2 linked regions of the Rattus norvegicus genome follow. The protein of the gene in region 2 purifies or fractionates together with the protein of the main gene of each other region. This does not show direct contact. Links are inferred from orthologs where the notes say so. Each region holds a gene or a part of one and is shown on either strand. Other genes may lie near its edges. The genes, in order: Ogt and Asxl1.

Region 1 (3,821 bases), on a different chromosome or scaffold from region 2:
TTGTTCAGAATGGAAAAATAAAGAAGCATCTCTCCCTACAAGAGAGACACCAGTGCAAACAAGAAATTGTTTAGTACTATCTTGCTTCTTTGGAATTACATGACACTAAGTTTCATTAATAGGTAAGATATTTAATAATATAAACTATATATAGCATATATTTAGAAAGTAGCATGGCAGGGTTGGGGATTTAGCTCAGTGGTAGAGCGCTTGCCTAGCAAACGCAAGGCCCTGGGTTCGGTCCCCAGCTCCGGAAAAAAAGAAAAAGAAAAAAAAAAAAAGAAAGAAAGCAGCATGGCTTTGTCTCTCACTTTAATTTTCCCTTCTCAATAGAATCCTGCACTATATTGTCAGCAAAGTTAAAACTGCTCTATTACACAGACAAGCAAGTAAAAACCTGAGCCAGGGTCCTGGGGAATCTAGCTCAGATGGAAAAGTACTTATCTAATGTGCAATGAAGTCCGGGTTCTATCTGCAGTAAACTGGGCATGGTGGTATACTATATAGCACCATCTCAGTACTGGGCAAGCAGGGGCAGGAAAATAAGTTTTTCAAGGTCATCCTCAGCTATTTAGTAAGTTGGAGGCCAAATGACGTACATAAGATCCCCTCTCAAAATAAATTAACTGAGTAAAATTAACCAAGATTACAACTATGGAGGCAAGAGAGCAAAGCTGAAGTTTGCACAGTCAACGAGTAAAGGACTGATGAAACCCTGATTACTAAAGGAAAAGAATGTACTATCCTGTGACAACTGGGCACACAAGAAAAAGACTTGTACCTTAGGAAGAAGCAAGTCCAAGCCCCACACGGAGGACATTCAAGGTTAGCAGTCTAAAACTAAAAATTACAAATACACTCTAATTTCAAATATACACTGAATATTTGAAAGAACACACAAATTACTTTCACTGTCTCCAAGTCTATGCAATTTGTCACTAGAAAAAAGCAATGAATAAAAAGCACTTTTTATATATGAATTCACAAACAAAAGCACCATGTAGTTGAACTAAGGTAGCCATTAAAAGGAGCACTTGCCCTGACTCAGTCTATACATATCAAAGAACATCTATAAAGTTAAAAGAGCCATTCCAGAGTGATTTTTACCTTTTTGAAATAAAAATAGGATTTTTTTATTTTTCAAAATTAACTTTAAAAATAATTGCTAAAAAGATATTCAGATAAAAAATGATCATCTGGGGGCTGGGGATTTAGCTCAGTGGTAGAGCGCTTGCCTAGGAAGCGCAACGCCCTGGGTTCGGTCCCCAGCTCCGAAAAAAAGAACCAAAAAAAAAAAAAAAATGATCATCTGGAAAACTACTAAAATAAGCTTCAGTTTCCTAAACTATAAAATTGGAGTCAAGACTCAGGCTTCTTATGTCTAATGTTTTCCAGGCTGGGCTCAATGGCTGCCTTGGGGCAAAGAAGGCTTTTTTTTTTTTAAGCTTTTTAGCTTTCATTTTTCATTCATGTCCAAATTTGCTTTGATAATTCAACTTCAAATTTCAACATCCACTTCACCACTGCTAACTAGCTATGTGATCTCAAAGTTACATAACCCAAAGTCTACTAGGGTTTTTATTATTGGCAAAACTAGAAATAATGCCATCTTCACCAAAGGATCATGCTAAAACTCACTGAGGCCTTTTTCTGAAGCAGTAGTATCTGAGCCTGTAGAAGACTTTTGAGAATGGCAGTTGTACCAGTTAATCATTAAGCACTTCCAGGGTGATTCCACACTCCATGTCAACTTGAGACCTCAAGTTTATGCTGCCAAGACCCATCCCTGTGCCTACCACTTACCTCTTAAAAGCTTACAGACACTCTCCCTTCAGTACATCAACAGTTTCCGGGGCAAGTTTTACATCCCTGTAGCATTTTAAATTTAATTTTTTTGTTTCATACACTATATTTTGATCTTTCACAGACTCTAATACTTGTTCTCCGAAAACGCATGCGACTTTAGATTTAAGAAGAATTAAAGAACTAATTCAAAATCTGGTCTAGATCTGCAATTACCCAATTCTACTACTTATAAATATATTGAGGTGGATGTATTGAGAACATTTTGTAGTCTAGATTTCTTTTTTTTTTTTTTTTTTTTTTGGAGCTGGGGACCAAACCCAGGGCCCAAGCGCTCTACCACTGAGCCAAATCCCCAACCCAACCCCGGTAGTCTAGATTTCATGTCACTAATATCTAGTACCTTCAAAAAATTTTTAGGGGTTGGGGATTTAGCTCAGCGGTAGAGCGCTTGCCTAGGAAGCGCAAGGCCCTGGGTTCAGTCCCCAGCTCCGAAAAAAAGAAAAAAGAAAAAAAAAATTTATATTACAGATTAAGACCTTTAACCCATCATTCCTTAAAAAATCAATTAACTGCTATAAATACTCAAAGTTCATCAAAACAGCACCCAAGCACACAAAAATGTGTCTTAAGCTATAATTAGCATTACAAAAAAATTGATGGAATTTTTTTATAAAGATAACTTTTATGCTTTTTAACTTCCTAAATGGGATGGATTTTTTTTTTATGTCATGCAGACCAAGTCAAAGCAATTTCATCATTTCAAGTACATAAACATCTCTCTCAACTCTTGACTATCATGAAAAAAACTATTATCTGAAATATCAAATGATGCTTGTTTGTTTTCTGGATTGCTGTGAAAGGAAAACTAAGAAATGTTTACTTACAGGATTGTACTGAAGAGCAGAGACGTATGCTTGCACTGCTCCCTCCATGTCACCTGCTGCTACCAAGGCTGCTGCCAGGTTAATATAACCATCAATGAAATCAGGCTTGAGCCGCAAAGCATGTCGATAATGCTCAATTGCTTCCTGTAATTGCCCTCTTTCCTTGTATACATTTCCCAAATTCGAATAGGCTTCTGCTAGAAGGGGATTCTGTTTAATTGCCAAGGTGCTAAAGTGAGCAGATCTGGAAAAGTAGAAAGTGTTGGTGCATGGATATGCGTGTTAGAGAAAAGGAGGCATGGTCATATGCAACTTAACAGTTCCTGAACATCCTGTACTATGAAACATTATCCTTTAACTAGCACACAAGAGAAAAGTTTGAAAACTAAAACTTTCCTTAGGTGAGAGTATCAAGATTTCATATAAGAAATCTGATTCTTATGTAAGAAAATTCTTATTAGAATCTATTACCAAACTGCCATTGTATAACATGATTATTAAGATTAAAAAAAAAGTGCATGTCTCGTTTTCCATTTGTTGGCAAGATTTAAAGACACAGATCTATAAATGCCTAAGTATGCCAAAATGATAATTTATTAAAAGATCCACAGCACAAATTCTTCTTTTGATTAATTCAATTAATTAGCTAAAAGCAATAACAATTTAATGAGGGCTATTTCCAATCTGCTACATATGCCCCTCCTACCAGAGTCCCTCAAACTGACGGGTCTGGATGCTCAGATGTACACTAAGAATAATTACCTGAAAAGAATATAACCCAAGTGATAGAATCTGGGAGAAAAGACCCTAGTCATACAGATAATATGCTCGCCCCAGCAAAATGGGGAGGGGGTGGGAGGGTGAGGAGAACTAGCAGCTAGGCATGCCAAACGTGAGCAAAAGAGCCTGTGTGCATTGGTGGCTCAGATGAAACCCAGCATTGAAAATCTGTGAAGTTCAAATATTTAATTATCGTTTTTTTAAACTCAGCACCAAGAGGCAGGTTACCCCGACATCTCCTACCTGTCCAGCCTTCGACACTGGAAATGTATAGATGAAAGTAATAAAAGAACACCAGTATTGTCAGGCTCTTGTCTCCAGAGCTGCATGCAGTGTCTCTCAGCTGCCTCA
Region 2 (3,821 bases):
TCTAAAGGACAGTTAGTAACCAAGCAGAAATGCTAAGAGAGCAGTTCAGGGTAGAGGAGAGTCAACTAGGAGCCATGTCATCTAATTTGCATTGTGAAAGAGAACACTGCTTGCCAGGCATCTACTAAAACTCAAAATGGACTTTCATACTGCCTTATAAATGACAGTGGTGATGACTTTATCCTATCTAAAATCCAGACTTACTCTATACTCAGTCTTTCCTTTGTATTTAATGATACATCAGTAATTCTGAGCTGCTAATATGGAGTCGAGTTATATAAATTTCGATTGTAGTTCTAACATTGTAAGAATGCAACAATTAAGCCAGCACTTAGGAGCAGAGGCAGGTAGACTCCTCAATTCCAGGCCAGCCTAATCTAGATAGTTTGAGGGCAACTACGGATACAAAGAGAAACCCTGTCTCAAAAAATAAATAAAACAGTATCCCAACCCCAAAAAGAAAGCATCAATTATCTAATTTACCCCCCCCCCTTTGCTTTTTCCTCTAATGAAAACTGCAAGGGAACTGACATTCCCCTCCTAACTGCTCACTGTGTGTTATGCTTGAATACAACTATAGACACACTGTGTTCAGGTGGCCTCGGAGAGGCCAAAGAAGAACCTGTTCTGCGTTATCACTTTCCATGTCATTCTCTCAAGATCCAGTTTCTCATTAATCTTGTAGCAACAAGCCCCAATCATCTTCCTGTCTCTAACCCAACCAAGTGTTGGGGTTAAACAGGCAGACATTCAAGTCACGCTTAGTTTTTTGTATTTTGGTTTTTTTTTTTTAAGAATTATTTATTTTATGTATATGAGCACATTGTCATTCTCTTCAGACTCACCAGAAGTGGGCATCCGATCCCATTAGAGATGGTTGTGAACCACCATGTGGTTGCTGAGAACTGAACTCAGGACCTCTGGAAGAACAGTCAGTGTTCTTAACCGCTGAGCTATCCTCCCCTCCCCACAAATTCTTTGTGAATTTCACATCATGTACCCCAATCCCACTCATTTATTATCCTATTGTACCCACCCTCTGCCCCTGCAATGCCCCCCCCCACCAAGGAAAAAAAAACAAAACAAAACCAAAAAGTATCTCATGGAAGCTATAGTGTACCACACAATAAATCCTTTTGTCCACATAGCTTTATTTGTAAATGTTCAGTTCATTACAGTACGTCATTGGTCTGGTTCGGGGCCTCTGGTCCCTCACCAGGACTCCTCTAGGATATCCTGTTATTGCCCTTGCCCCATGTGAGGTCCTGCAGCTTTGTTTCTGCAGGACCAACTCCTTCACAAGTTTCAACAGTTCGCAGATGGGGAAGATATAGAGATGGGCTAACTCAAAGCTCTGGATCTAGGCCTGGGTGGTAGCTGCTTTAATCAGTCCACCAGCACTCCTGTACCCCATGCCACCAGTCACCAGAGCCAGTTCTTCCACTTTGCCCAGTCAAGACCAGCTTCTATGAGGAGTGGTGCATCTGTCCTATTGCCCACACCACCACACTTCAAATCCCTGAGTGCTAGGGATTTGAACTCCAAACTTCATGATTAAACAACTGCTTTTACCTATTGAGCTATCTCCCCAATTCCCCCAAAAAGGTGCCTTTTTTTTTTTTTTTTTTGGTTCTTTTTTTCGGAGCTGGGGACAGAACCCAGGGCCTTGCGCTTCTTAGGCAAGCGCTCTACCGCTGAGCTAAATCCCCAACTCCAAAAGGTGCTTTTTTAAATGTATGGCTGTGTAAGTACAGTAGTACTCCTTCTTTTAATGCTTTATTATTATTCATTTTATGTGTGCATTCCCTATATGCCCACACACCATATGCACGCCTGGTACCCACGGAGGTCAGAAAAAGGTACTAGAACCCCTGGAACTAAGTTACAGAAGGTTGTGAGGGACCACATAGGTGCTGAGAATCAAGTGCTGGTTCTCTACAAGAGCAGTCAGTGTTCTTAGCCACTGAAGCATCCCTCCAGCCCTTCTTTCTTTGTTTTTCCATATTTGCAACATTGTAAAGCCAGGCATGGTGACAACCCCATGTAATCCCAGTACTAGTATGACAAAAGCACAAGGATCACATGTTTTAGGCCACTTTGAGCAATCAAGAGTTCAAGGCCAGACTATACTACAAAGAAAGTAAGTCTCTAAAAGAAAACTAGTCTATGAAATAGAAGACAAAGCAATAAAAATTACTATACATTACACCTCTTCTTAGAAAAAGTGTGCATGTGCATGAGATGAGAGATGGCTATTTTGACAGAGCCACTAGGTCAACAAAATCTCAATTATTTGTATCAGCCCTTCATACAAGAGTTTTCAGACTGTGATCTAAATGACAGCCAAATATATCAGAAATGGTAGAAAATAATTATTTATTTCAGCAAATAAGGCTTATTATGAACTACTCCTTTATAACTAGTGTTTTAGTATATTCTGATACGCACATTTTGGTTCCTTTCCACAGAGCAGGTACGTTAGTTGCACAGTAATTTTATCCCTGACAGTATTATTACAAACAAAAACCTTACTAAGGCACATCTGTAATTATCACTACACACACATTTCAACTGCATAGAATCTACTAAGCAAAGCTGAACACAGAAACACAGGTGATATAACTTAGTAACTCCTAATAGTCTATAAGACTACAGCATCTCAGAGCACCGTTAAGGACCAAACATTAGTGTTATCTGACTGCATATTAGGAAAGACATCAATCCACCAGCATCATTGCAAACCCACCAGGTTTTATGCACAAAGCTTTGAGGACCATTGCACTGAAAACTAATTTTACCTTGAGTGTGAAAAGACTAATCCGGCCAGGTAATTTATAAAATAGCCCTTCTCCTCCTCTTGAGTTGGAATGTAGCATGGCATTGAGGCACGCGAGGGGGGATGTCCCACTGTAAAAGATGAAAGGAGGGAAATGGATCACAGAAGTTGTGTCTCCTTAGCCAATGTCCAAACACCCTCGAATTCCTTTCCAAACCAAGAAGTGAAGCAATCAAAGCAGAAGCCATGACTGCACAGACGACTATGAGAGCACGGGGAGACGAACAACTCAAGTCCAGTTGTGGTGCACTCAACAGTTCAGAACACGCACCAGCACATCTGTGGGTTTCCTGACAACACAACCAAGCTCTAAAATACTTAGAGACCACTCAGCAGTTAAAGTGCTTGGTATAAGCCAGGTATGGTGGCACAAACCTGTAATTCTAGTATTTAGGAGACCAGAGAGAGGCCGATCTCTGAATTTGAGACCAATCTGGTCTACAGAGTGAAGAAACCTGTCTCCTGTCTTCAAGACAAGAAAAACAAAAAGCAAGAGTCTGCTGGCTGCTTTCACAAAGGACCAGAGTTCGAGTCCCAGCATCCATGCTGGGTGGCTCACAACCTGTTAACAGTGTTAGCTACAAGGAATCCCTATGCCCTCTTCTGGCCTCCAGGGTATCTAAGTATAGACAAATTAAAAATTAAAAAATTTCCAAGTCATATGTTAACAAACGTTAGAGCACCTATCTTAGCCAGGTGCGCTGGTTCATTCATATAACCTCAGCCCTCAAAAAGCTGAGTAAGGGGGTTGGGGATTTAGCTCAGCGGAAGAGCGCTTGCCTAGCGAGCGCAAGGCCCTGGGTTCGGTCCCCAGCTCCGAGAGGGAAAAAAAAAAAAAAAAAGCTGAGTAAGGAGGCCAAAGTCTGAACTTCATAGTTTCAGGCCATATTGGTCTATATTATGAGAATCTGCTCAAAAACTGAAACATAATACAATGTAATAAATTTTACATTGGGCACATACATGTCTTTAATCCCAGAACTCA

What was found.
Region 1: the proteins of Asxl1 (region 2) and Ogt purify together in Homo sapiens (affinity purification with mass spectrometry; 3 studies listed by BioGRID and IntAct, with this or other methods). This does not show direct contact. The link is inferred for Rattus norvegicus from reciprocal best matches to the Homo sapiens genes ASXL1 and OGT.

What each region holds. Positions count from the first base shown.
Region 1 is NC_086039.1:70,814,352-70,818,172, reverse strand, and holds part of Ogt (UDP-N-acetylglucosamine--peptide N-acetylglucosaminyltransferase 110 kDa subunit), read right to left. Parts: coding exon 3,714-3,821; intron 2,935-3,713; coding exon 2,691-2,934; intron 1-2,690. UniProt on the Homo sapiens protein: Catalyzes the transfer of a single N-acetylglucosamine from UDP-GlcNAc to a serine or threonine residue in cytoplasmic and nuclear proteins resulting in their modification with a beta-linked N-acetylglucosamine (O-GlcNAc).
Region 2 is NC_086021.1:162,283,728-162,287,548, reverse strand, and holds part of Asxl1 (ASXL transcriptional regulator 1), read right to left. Parts: intron 2,908-3,821; coding exon 2,799-2,907; intron 1-2,798.